Arabidopsis thaliana: one gene and its partner. The protein of the gene in region 2 purifies or fractionates together with the protein of the main gene of each other region. This does not show direct contact. Each region holds a gene or a part of one and is shown on either strand. Other genes may lie near its edges.

Region 1 (6,185 bases), on a different chromosome or scaffold from region 2:
AAGCCAAAGCCTAGACTAATACCTACCCAACACAAAAGAAACACATTTAAAGCCAAATCCGTTTTATTGCTATCCATGATGACATATCGCAGATGATCGGTAGCTTACCAAGAATGATGGCTAGTCTTTTGTTTTTGTTGGATTTACACCTAAAGTTTCCTGGGATATTCTCACAATCATACCCTTTCCCACAATGGTTGCTTCCTTCAGCTTTGGCTTCTTCACACTCATCAATATCTACTTAGGCGAAGAATGCATCAATGATTCATGGAGCTTACAGAAACTAACGCAAAGTTATACCAGAAAATGTTAGTTTACCTGTACATCCACTCGAGAGATATGGATTGCCTCTGTAGCCACTGTTACACCTGCAGCTTCTATAGCTTCGCTCTAAATACTTACCATATCTACATATGCAAGCTTCATAGTTACTGTAACTCCAACCGCTTGTACCCTCGGTAATTGAATAGCAAACCCCAGTACAACGGACATATTGTGTAACCTATCTATGAACCAACCTAACTCCACCGTTCCATATCCCTTATCGTAAAACAAAGCTGGTTCGGTTATATTTAAAGGAGAATATGCCTCGTCTGTCAAGAAAGCAACTCTGCACCCAGCTTATTTCGTTGTGTTACCATCAAGACTCTCTATCTTGATGCCAATCTGTTGCAGACGGTCAGAGAGTATCTTCGCTTGGCAACATCTATAGCCGTTGCAGCTTCTGTTCCGTCCTCTCTGACCAAACCCCACGTCGCAGGTAGACTCGCATCCTCCAATCTGCAGCTTATCATCAGTCATCGAGGCATTGTTGTTACAGCCAACTGCTACTAAAGTATTACGGCCGGTGAGGAAGAATGGGCTCCCGGTCACATTCAAAGCCAAGCTGATTTCTTCCATATTGGAACAGCCTAAAGAAGTTACCGGATTCTTGATTCGGGTTAGCCCAAAGACATCGCTTGAGTCGTCCGGGAGAGAGATATTCACCAGTTCTCTGTTGATACTCTTAAGAACTGGCAGAGGGTTTCCTGAGGTTCGGTTACAGATAACTTCATACCACTCATTGTTGTTGAGATAGCAATCTTTACCAATTCCAAAGGGATAAGGAATCGCTATTCCCCCGCAATGGCTTTGACAAGAACTGAAGACAGTGAGATCTTGAGCAGATGCTGCAATCAAACCATGGATCAGCAGAACCAGAAGAGAGAGCAAGTTATATATGGAAAACTTCTCTCTGCTCATTATGCTCTGTTTTTTTTTCTTTGTAGAAAACTGAGTTATGTTATGTGAAGCTAAAGCTAAAGCTAATATAGAATTATGTGTTATATAGTAACTAACCGAAGAAACCACAGTTGCCTACTTGGACCACCTTGCCTGCAAAGGCTGAAAATTCAAACAAGCGTGGACGATCCTGCCTCTTACTTTGTCAACTATTGATGATTCCAAAGAGTCTACATAGGTATCTGTCATAATTTGTTTATTATTGAAGATTCTAGTCTTCCCTAATTGATGGGAGTCTAGAAGCAGAAAAGTTTTGATTCTTGAAAATGCACAAGTTTACACATATAAAAGTCTGGACATTTTACAAAGCGTGAACTGATTCTCTTTCTTTATTAAAAAATTACATCTTTTTTTCACTTCTCAGGCGTGTACACAGTTGACACTAGTTTCAGATCATCTACTTAAAATATGTAAGAATGATACTTAATCCAGATACTCACAATTTAGAAAGACTGGCTCTATATCACTTTAAGCTCTTTCAGCCATTCGGTATGGAGGGGACACGGATCCGGTTGCCCTTCCGCAATCGCCTTCTCTGAGAGTGAATAAAACCAACCATTCCTCCATTTAAACTGCAATAATCAGAAAACTAGTTGTGAAACAGATACTGATGCACATGCACATGCATTGAAAGAGAGAGATCAAGGATGATAAAAGTGATATATGTACTTCTTTAACAGCAGTTGGGAAATGAGAAACAGCTCGTGAATAAGCACATAGTCTTTCCACCATGTTCTCTTCAAAGGTTAGTCCTTTTTCCGCGGCAGCAGCTGCTGCAAGTTCTTGGATGAGTCTCGACACCTGAATGTATAAGTAATTAGCACTAAACAACGATTTTGAATGCTAAAACGAAACGAGGAATGGAATTTCGGTACTTCATCTCTGTATTCTTTCTCCACCGTGCCAACACTTGCACCTGGATGACGAGCTCCAACAAGCATAAATGCACAAATCCAAATGAGTTTCTCCAACATTTGCTTCTGAAAAGCTTCTTTGTCAAGTACCTAACCACAGAAACACCGACAAAAGAACACATTTAGTATATCCATGCAGCTTCTGCGTTATCATAAAACAAAGATTTGCTTCTTGTAACCTTGCAAGAGAGGCCACCAGATTGCAATCTTGCAGCTATCTCTGAAGCCCATTTTCCATAAGCAGCAGTAAGACCTTCTGGGTTAGTGTCAGTCTTTCCATCCACGGGAGGCTCGCCGAGCTTTGACACAGCAAAATAGGCCAACACTTGGTCTGTATCACCCAAACCTTTGCTCTCAAACCACGGCTCCATCATTCCATTTTGGAAGAAGACCAAATCTGATTAATTACACACAACGTTTTTACTATACCAAGTCATAAACTGAAGAAACAATCAAAATTTGATAATCTGATCATTTGAATTGTGCTCTGCGATGATCAAACGCCCTAAAACATCTAACAATTTGGCTCACTAATGATTCTTAGGGCCTATGAAAGTTTCTACCTTTCCATCTAGACTGAGGAGTAGCTTCAAGAACAGCATCGAGATCATCATTTCTTGTACAAACCAAAATGGGTCCTTCAAAATCAACCGGAACTGCTTCTCCTCTCTTCACCAACAAATCCTCGCCATTACCCATTTCCTGTAACGCCCTTCCGACTCTTCCGCCACCCACAATCACAGCAGGCGCTAGTTTTTTAGCGGTGGCAGCTGACGCGGCGGCCATAGCCATTGGAACGGCGAATCTCGCTCTTGAAACTGAGGGTTTAAGAGATTCAGAGCGTCGGAGGAAAGAGAAACGAGCTGAAGCGGAGCAGGAAACAGCAAACAGAGTACTACTGGCTTTAGCCATGGTGATAATAATGGGCTTCGACGATGTTGTGGCCTCTCATGGTTTTGGTTGGACTAATTTGAACAGTATGGTTTAACAGCCACTCGATGGTTTGAGGCTCTGGCTTATCGGTTTTGGATGACTCACGAAGATAAAACGGCATGACGTTGATAAATATAAAAAACGGCAGGTTGTTGATACTTTAAGTGTTTGAGTGTTTGAAACACAGTTCCCGCTAAACCTCAATCCAATCATCAACCTTTCAGTTTCCCGACAAAGGAAAACGACAAAATATTAATCAAAATCCCACTATCGTGTATTGACCGTTGGGTCCGTAGAAAGTAGAAAAAGGGCAAAAACCAAACGCAGACATCTAAAAAACCTTTGTGTTTAAGACAAGAAAAGAAAAGTCCATCTGTGTCTTTGGTTCTGTGCTCGCACAATCCCCAATGGCTATTCAAATTCAAATGGAAACACTGTGGGACTTTATAAAAACGTTACTTTCAACTCAGTACCATTGTCAAACACCTGTTTCTAGATTCATGTCTTCAAAATCTATAAAGATATAAACTTAGCTCCCAGAAAGTTCTAAACTTGATACTTGAAAGCAATCCATCCAGAAAGGGAAAAAAAACATGGCTGGTTCGAGAAAAGTGAATGATTTGTTGGAGGAAAATAAGGGAAATGTGGACACAATTACAGGGTCTTTATCCACTCAAAAGGGAGAGGATAAGGAGAATGTGTCGCCGGAGAAAGTCTCTACCTCTGTGGAAACTCGGAAACTAGATCGAGCTTTGAAGTCTCAATCGATGAAGGGTAACTCTGGGTTTCCAACGGAAGTTACAAATTTCAAATCTTTCTCAACTGGTGGTCGAACAGCTCTGAAGCAGTCATCACTGCAAGCGTGTATGCAGAAGAACAGTGAGGTTGATAAGAGTAGTTTCGGAATGAAAACTTGGACTAGTGTTGATTCAGAGCATTCAAGTTCGTTGAAAGTGTGGGAGTTTTCGGATTCTGAAGCTGCCCCTGCTTCCTCTTGGTCTACTTTGCCCAACAGGTAAAAACACGGCTATTACCAAGATTCTTGTGCTTTCATTGTTCTAAACATGTCTGAAACTATGTATATACTTGTTAAACAGGGCTTTGTTGTGCAAGACACTACCTTTGGATGTGGGAAGATGCACTTGTCTGATTGTGAAAGAACAATCACCTGAAGGCTTGAGCCACGGATCTGTATATTCACTTTATACACATGTAAGTATATAGATATTCGATTTACCATGATGCTGAGTGAGAATTGAGATGTAGTGATATCAATGTTTCTGATATCTCAGGAAGGTCGGGGGCGTAAAGACCGGAAGTTAGCAGTTGCTTACCATAGCCGACGTAATGGGAAATCTATATTTAGGGTGGCACAGAATGTTAAGGGATTGCTGTGCAGTTCGGATGAAAGTTATGTCGGTTCCATGACGGCTAATCTCTTGGGTTCCAAGTACTACATATGGGACAAGGTCAGAAATTCAAGCTCAATGTAACGGTGTTGGTTCTGCTTATAGGTTGGAAATCGAGTATGAATGTTTCTGGTCTTTTGATTCCATTGCAGGGAGTTCGAGTTGGTTCTGTAGGTAAAATGGTGAAGCCGCTTCTTTCGGTTGTAATGTAAGCGTTGAGGATTTTGAATGCCGTGTTTTTTGATGAATTTGCCTCTGCCTTAGTTTTGGGTTTGCTTATGCATCTGTTGGCTTCTGCAGATTCACACCCACCATAACAACTTGGACAGGGAGCTACAGAAGAATGAGAACTTTGCTACCAAAGCAGCAGCCAATGCAGAAAAACAACAATAAGCAGGTAAATGCCTAATCTTAAACTTCTCTCCATCAATCTTGCATTCCGAAAACATAAAACTGTTAATACACGTATGTATGTATCTCCTTATAGGTTCAACAAGCTAGTAAACTACCGCTTGATTGGCTTGAGAATAAGGAAAAAATTCAGAAGCTATGCTCAAGGATACCACATTACAACAAAGTAAGTCTCACCGGGCATCATTGTTGATTTTGTAAAGCATGAAATTCATTGTGTCTTCCCCTTTCTTTAGATCTCCAAGCAGCATGAGTTAGACTTCAGAGACAGAGGAAGAACAGGACTGAGAATACAGAGCTCGGTGAAGAACTTTCAGCTAACACTCACGGTGCATTTCCACAACTTTAAAGCTTTGATCAAAAACCAATCTCAAGAATCCTAAACATTGTGTAATTTGGTATAAGCAGGAGACTCCAAGGCAGACAATTCTTCAAATGGGGAGAGTTGACAAAGCAAGATATGTAATCGACTTCAGGTACTACTTGCTCAAACCAGAATGAGCCAAACATAAACATACTTATAAGCTTAGGATTAAAGGCTTTATCATCTAAAAGTCTTTTGCTTTATCTGTTTGCAGGTATCCATTCTCAGGCTACCAAGCATTCTGCATTTGCTTGGCTTCTATTGATTCCAAGCTTTGTTGTACTGTTTGATCATTAATAAACGGACGAGTTCAATCTCTGAACATCCCTCCAATGATCATCATCTGTATACCTTACTTTTCTACATAAACAATTCCTCTATCTGAGTTTCACAAACTACCTCAGTACCTCTCAAATCAAATTCACCATCAGAGGAAACTGAAAGTGGACAACTGTTAAAAAGATTCAAACTTTATTATATAAGATTGTCACAAGAAAGAATAATCGATGTGTCAATGTTGATTTTCACAACCGAGATTCTGAACAACTAAAAAACAAAACTTATCAGAAGAACAACACTTTAGCAATCATTTAACTCGCTGTAGAAATCAGGCGTAAGGAAAGAATCTAAATCACCGAAGATAACATCATCTTCCTCCGCCGTTAACTTGCCGGAGTTTTGACACCCGAAATACGTCTGGATATCTTCCGGGAAGCTCCGACGAGGCGGAGCAATCTCAGGTGGCGTCGATGGTCCGATTACCTCCTCTGCCACTAAAGGTGACGACTTCAAGAGCTTTGTTTTCCGATCATCGTTGTCCTCTGACGAAGATTGACTCTGTGATAAGTCAGACTCGTGGTTAGGTTTTATAAA
Region 2 (6,971 bases):
AAAATACTAATTTTCCTAGAGAGACATTTCTGTTGAAAGTTGAAACAAAAAGTGTGAGTATTTTCACACACAAAAAAAGTATGATAGTATTGATAGAACTTTGAGACTAATAGTAAATAAACGGTTAATCAATTCTATTTAATCAATGAAATTGTTTTGACGTTAAAAACAAAAAAAGAGTAAATAAACGGTTATGGTTTGGATAAATTGATCAGGCCATCATGCATGAAGGAATCAAAGCAATTATGAAAATTGGAAATCATGATATGAATGGTAACAACGAAATGAATAGTTTAAAACAAATAGATCAGACGACAATACAGAACAAATGTGAATAGTACAAGGAAACATAACTCATCGTATAACCACATTTCCATATGAGAGTTTAATGAGGGTAGTTTTATGTGGATATCTACGGTGATCAAAGTTGATCTCCATTTTTGTTCTAGATTTTACTGCTCCAAACGTTGGAGTATCAAAATTTACCTTTTTATGGGTTTAATGTTCTTTATGGTAGATTTTTTTTTGTCTAATCTTTTAAGTGTTCTCTATTTGCAACGGATGTTTAATCAGTGAATAAAATAGTCCAAAATATATCATATCATCAAATTTGTTCTCACTTTTTTTATATTAATTATTTCAACAAATTTGTTTTTGTCTCACTTGCCATTGGCCATGAATCGCGTGGTTCCTTTACCTCATGCACGTTTTATGGGTTACTAATTTAGTAATTATACAGAATCACAATTTGTCGGTTGATTTGATATTAGCTTGGTATCATTTGTCGGCATGTGATATACAAAAGAAAGATATTGGAGCAAAACTGAATGACGTATTTCTTATGTTGGTGAGAAAATGTGAACACAGCTTGGGAAGTGTTTAGCCGCTTCTAGTTGCTAACCGACACTACACTTCTAAACAAGATCAGCACAAGATCTATCTTGTTTTATCAAAGAAAACGTGGTTACTATTTAATTCTGTTTCTCATGTACTTTTGTTTTTGTTTAATATTTAGGTTCCAATTAGTAAAGGAATGAAATATAATTGAAAGCATTTGTGTGATTCGAAAGTAAGAGCTTATTATGTATATGCCCAAATTCAGTAGCTTTTTTGAACATGAATTATGTTAATCATTCAGTATCTAAAATCATAACTAAAATTAGTTAGAAAGGTATGATATATCCATGGCATATACTAATTACATAACATATATACAAATCTAATTTTTTTGGTGAATCCTAACAATACATTTAATCTCATTTCATATAAGTTGGATGTATTAATCCGTATGTCTATCCTCGAGTTATATTCCATATGGTGTCCTTTCCCTGTTTTTTTTTTAGTTTTCTACTTTTAGACATAGTTTTTAATTAGTTTTTTTATTATATTAATGTTGAAATCTATATGTTTATAAAACCTGAATGAATTAAACTATCTATAAAAACTTATGTTGTACAAAAATTTTAGCTGTCAACTGGAAATGTATATTTTTTTTGGAATAATGCAAAAATGTACAAAAAAAACTGTATGAGAAAGTCTTACAAAAAAAAAGAAAAATAAAATGTTTAGTAACGTTTTTTATAAAGTTTTGTGATTAATAACCGTCAAAGCTGTACAACTATAATAATGGTTACCCTTCAAATCCTTTATACTTTATTTAAGACTTTAGAGGAGGCTCTAATACTACGTACATTAATACATACTTTTTACAAATACTTTTTGCCGACAAACAAAACAAAAGTACTGTACGTAGACAATGCTGGAAAACGTGCTATTTTGACAGGAAGACAATCTGTTATCCTATCATTTTCGCATTCTTGTTGATATGATAAGAGGAGCTACCATTGGCTTAAATTGAGTTCACATTGTCCTATAAATTAAATAGATTTCCCCCCTGATTAAGATGTATTCATATTTTTTTTTATTTTTTTTTGATAAAATGTGAATTATATTACCAAAAGGAACATGTTTATTTACAAAAGCTTGGGGCAAGGAGCTTCTAAGACCAAATTTTTTAAAAAAGCCTTAGATAACTATTACAAAGAAACTTGTGATTACATGAGTTTGCTAAGCATGGGAGACCATTGAGAGAGCCGACGTGTGCAGCCTAAGCGGAAACGCCTTGCTAGGAGAATGTCTTTGATGTATTCACAATTGAGTACTTATAAGCTGATATAACAGACTTGGCAGTAATTCAGTTTTACTACATGTACACTATCATTTCCTAGTTTCCGGGATTGAACTCATTACAATTACAAAAAGACGAGACACATCGATATTAGTCCTAATTTACAAAAAAGGCTTCGAACATTTCCACTCAATACTGATTCACAAGTAAACAAACCTCTTTATTTGGTTCAGATTAAAAGTTCTAAGAGCAATGTCCTTATTTAAAGATGATTGGGCATCACACAACGTTTTGGGACTTACATCAACCATTGCTGCCTGATGGAAGAAAGCTTAAGCCAAGTACTGTTTCATCCAGGAGGTGAAGCGAGACCAAGCAAGCTCCACTGCGGCTTCATCTTCATCAGAAAGTCCCATGCTTTTCCTTCTGCTCACTCCTTCTGGACTCCTGTTCAAGAACGCGTGTCCATTACCTGGATAGATGTGAACTTCATGTGCTACTCCAGACGCTTTCAGCTTCTCTTCGAGATTCTTTGCTGCCTGCAAAGGTTTGTAATAATTCATGATGGGATCTCATGTCAATTTCAGAAAAGTTGAGATGTAGTGTAGTGTATATACACATACCGTGACATCAGAAAAACCGACAAAATTGTCGAGCTCTCCAAAATGAGCCTGAATAGGTGCCTTAGCTTGTGCTGGATCTGCGAGCTCTGAGGAAGGGGTTCCATAGAATCCAACAACAGCATCCACCTCAGGAACCAATACAGAGCTAGCTATAGCTAATGCACCTCCCATGCACATTCCAGTGACACCAACCTGTCACAACAATTATAATTCATCTGCATTTTCCTCAAGAATTTTATGCGAACTGAAAGAACTTTGTTTAAGTTTAGCACCTTTTTTGAGCCATTGGATTTTAGCCAATTAACAGAAGCGCGGATATCTTTGATAGCACCTGGCCAATCAAGGCCATCCATTAGATGCTGTGCCTCTGCAGTATCCAAACCAACCTTTCCTCGATACAAGCTACAAAATATAATATTGTGAGACGATACTCAATGAACCATAATTTACAAAACTGAATCTTGCAGTTAAAGAAGCACTCACTCAGGTATAAGGGCTTTGAATCCAGGCTCAAGTTGTGAGATTTTAATAGCATGGTTCTTGATCTCAAAGTCAACACCCCACCATTCTTGAATCACCACAATCCCAGGCGCATCATCTTTACCGACCACATAGGCATCAAATGTCTAACCAACAGACCACAGTGTATAAGTTTTCTTTAGAGTAAAATCAAGATTATAGAAGAATCATACACAAAAAAATAGCTAAATCAAATGCATTTTTCACAATCCTAATAATCAAGAAACTCCAATGTTCAAGAGAAACCAGTCTATCCATGGAGAGAGTTACAAGCAAAGCATAACATCGCCGAAAACTCTGACCAAAACAATACCTAAACTGTTTATCACTATACTGATCATTTGTGAACTGAAACCTAAACTCACAATCTTCCTTCTTAAATCAACCAGTTCTATAACCAAACCTGATAAGGACTATGATTATACGGAGATCTTCAGAAGTAGCTAAGCAATAATAACATCTCTTACTCTCATTCCCAGTTTCTCTACCACAGAACAACACTACACAATCCTGAAGCAGAAACGCCATTGAAATGATAAATCAAATATAATCCATACATCATACACAACAGATTCCGAGATTTGGGGGATATCAAAAGAAATGATGATTTTCATTCAACGGAAAGGATAACCAAAATTTTTTTTTACTTCAAAATCAGGCACTACGGATACAGTCGAAGCTTATGATACACCAAACACAACCATAAAAATGGCACTAAGTAGAAAAAAAACTCAGGGAGAGACAAAAAAGAGAAGCTCTTACAGTGTCATCTCTTTGGATCTGAATTTTCCTGAAAGCTGAATCCGCCATTGATCGCACTGATAAGCGAGAAAACGAAGGAATCGAGGATCTATAGAGCGAAGAAGTTTTTCCGATTGAAGAAGAGAAGAATCTGGATGAGGATGACACTAGTGTACTTAACATTGTTTTTGTGTCTTGTGAGGAAAGAAATTCTTCAGAGTCAACCCCAAACGACACAAAAACGACGACGTATCTGTGAGTGTGAATCTGGGCCCGGTATATTTTTAAAAATATATGGGCCATTAGGCCCAAATAATCAAGTCCTTTTTTGTATTTGTATTTGTATTTGCGACGACGATAATACGTAAATAGTAGTTTGGTAATATCCAAAAAGCCAGCATCGCCTCTGCTACGGCGTTGTCTCTTTTCTCCCAATTATTAGCTTATATCAATATAAGAAATTATTTTTTTTGTGGATTTTGTAACCATGACAGGACCAGCTTGATTTTGTTTTTGTAAGATTCGTGGTTTCTCGATTTCATGAAAATGACTCAATGATTTCGTCCTTTCTATAGTATTTTGGGTTTTAAAGTCAACTAGTTGACTTCAAAACCCAAACTTAACGTCCATATATATACACATACACAGTACTGTATTATGTGTATATATATGGACGTTAAGTTTTTGAAAATAAGAGATATATAGGGCTTACGAAGCCAATATCTAGATAAGTGATATCGGAACAAAAATCAATCACAAAATATCTACCAAGAGATGTCATATGTGATACGTATTAACTTTATATACATATGATTAGTTCCATGAATTTGAATTTAAAAGGTATAGTGCATGTATCAAAGGGCATATATAGCCACATCTCAATTGGGATAAATGAAAGAGTTCATCACGTTTCTTTTCAATTCCCAAAATGGCGATGCGAGGAAATAAAGGCAAGTTATTGATTTCGCTTTCTATAATAATTTTAAATTTTTGTTGTATAACAATGATAAAGAAACGTTCTTCAACAACAACAAAAAAATGTTACGTACGTGACTTTAATTTGCGTGACGACTACTCATCATTCACCACAAGAGCAAACGGAATAAAAAGACAAACTTTATCGTTATCCTAATTTGAACCAAACCACAAAATAGCCACCACAAATAGACAAAGATATACATACAGCGAGACACATCATGCAAAAATGTATATATGTAGCTTAGTGGATCATTAATAATGTTTAGAGAAACGATCGAATTTAATGAGACTTATTTTCGTTGAAAAAGTTTTGATAGGGTGTAACTTAATATATAGTATCAGTCTAGTGCTAAACATCTATAAGTTCAAATTCCAATTTCTGTGTATATTTTGGCCTCCATTCTACAAATCTATATTTATTTACCACAATGTATAATCTAGACATACAATACGTTTTACAAAAAAATAATATGTAGTACATACACCATTTGTGAAGTCATGTATCTATTTGACAAACTAGTCCAATGGAATTTGACTATGACTAATTTATTATTGTCCTTTCTCTTGTGTATCTTTTTTTTTCTTCCTAACTAAACACTACTACACATTATGGGTTGATTGGTATCCAATACCGCTGTAGTATGGAGTATATTGCTTTGATAATAATCAATCAAAGGATGCTACTAAAAACGATATTTTAAGTTTTATGATTTTTTTTTCTTTCGTACCGCTACTTTATATCGTTTTTAAACTATTTTTGTATCTCTTACCGTTTTTTCTACTTGCTAAAAAACTTATACGATTTTGTGTGGCCAATCGGTCCTATATTTTATATATACAAGCATTCATAGACGTGACGACGCATTATTTTACTTAACCCTATATAAACATATCCAAAAACCGCAAGAAAGCTCACAAGAAATCTCCTCCCATGGCAGATTCAAGTTCTTCTCTCCCTCCTCTTTGCGAGAAGATCTCATACAAAAACTATTTTCTAAGAGTTGTGGATCTCACGATTCTAGGCTTTCTCTTTTCTCTTCTCTTGTACCGAATTCTACTTATGAACCAAAACAACTCCGTTTGGGTTGTGGCTTTCCTCTGTGAATCCTTTTTCTCTTTCATATGGCTTCTTATTACCAGCATAAAATGGAGTCCTGCTTCATATAAATCATATCCTGAAAGACTTGATGAAAGGTATCAATTTATATTACACTTACAATTATATATACAATCATGCATATTAAAAGCATATGTTCTTTTAATTTTGTATAAAACCTAAGTCCTAGCTAGCTGAAACCTAACTCTTAAGTTTTTTTTTCCTCACGAAATATCATTCATTTTTTTCTGTTATCTTTCTATTTTAGTGGACTAGCTAGTAAAAATTTGAAAATATAAGACTCTTAGTAATTAAATAATTTCAGGGTTCATGACCTTCCATCGGTAGATATGTTTGTGACTACTGCGGATCCTGTTCGGGAGCCGCCGATTCTTGTAGCAAACACGTTGCTTTCGCTGTTAGCAGTGAATTATCCAGCGAATAAACTTGCTTGTTATGTATCGGATGATGGATGCTCACCTCTCACTTACTTCTCTCTCAAGGAAGCTTCTAAGTTCGCCAAGATTTGGGTTCCCTTCTGCAAAAAATATAACATTAAAGTTAGAGCTCCTTTTAGATATTTTTTGAACCCTCCAGCCGCAACAGAAAGTTCTGAATTCAGTAAAGACTGGGAAATAACCAAGGTAAATTAAAGGGTTTAATTGTTTTTTCGGCGTATGAGTTTAATTTTGCAATTGTGTTTACAAATTAAATGATTTCGTTTACTTTCAAGAAGAACACATAATTTATTTTCAATCAAACATTATTTGTAAATTGTAGAAGGTAAAGTAGAAGAAATCGTTGATGTTTCGAATTTGTGTTCTTTAAAACATTATGACAATGCTGTGATTTATAGAAAGATAAAGAAAAACAAAATCAATTAATT

Evidence for each region.
Region 1: the proteins of AT2G32520 (region 2) and AT1G16080 fractionate together in Arabidopsis thaliana (co-fractionation; one large-scale study listed by BioGRID). This does not show direct contact.

What each region holds. Positions count from the first base shown.
Region 1 is NC_003070.9:5,511,316-5,517,500, reverse strand, and holds AT1G16080 (nuclear protein), read right to left. Parts: upstream 3,240-6,185; 5' UTR 3,108-3,239; coding exon 2,759-3,107; intron 2,593-2,758; coding exon 2,375-2,592; intron 2,286-2,374; coding exon 2,157-2,285; intron 2,083-2,156; coding exon 1,951-2,082; intron 1,854-1,950; coding exon 1,740-1,853; 3' UTR 1,474-1,739; downstream 1-1,473. Other genes in the region: WAKL7 (wall associated kinase-like 7), read right to left, coding at 121-237, 319-390, 433-593, 639-1,242; TLP8 (tubby like protein 8), read left to right, coding at 3,722-4,143, 4,226-4,340, 4,421-4,597, 4,690-4,745, 4,838-4,934, 5,025-5,114, 5,185-5,277, 5,357-5,424 and 1 more; ADAP (ARIA-interacting double AP2 domain protein), read right to left, coding at 5,892-6,185.
Region 2 is NC_003071.7:13,803,363-13,810,333, forward strand, and holds AT2G32520 (alpha/beta-Hydrolases superfamily protein), read right to left. Parts: upstream 4,349-6,971; 5' UTR 4,315-4,348; coding exon 4,033-4,314; intron 3,954-4,032; exon of another isoform or gene 3,744-3,953; coding exon of another isoform or gene 3,738-3,743; intron 3,378-3,737; coding exon 3,235-3,377; intron 3,154-3,234; coding exon 3,024-3,153; intron 2,944-3,023; coding exon 2,752-2,943; intron 2,668-2,751; coding exon 2,461-2,667; 3' UTR 1,927-2,460; downstream 1-1,926. Other genes in the region: CSLB03 (cellulose synthase-like B3), read left to right, coding at 5,921-6,183, 6,411-6,729.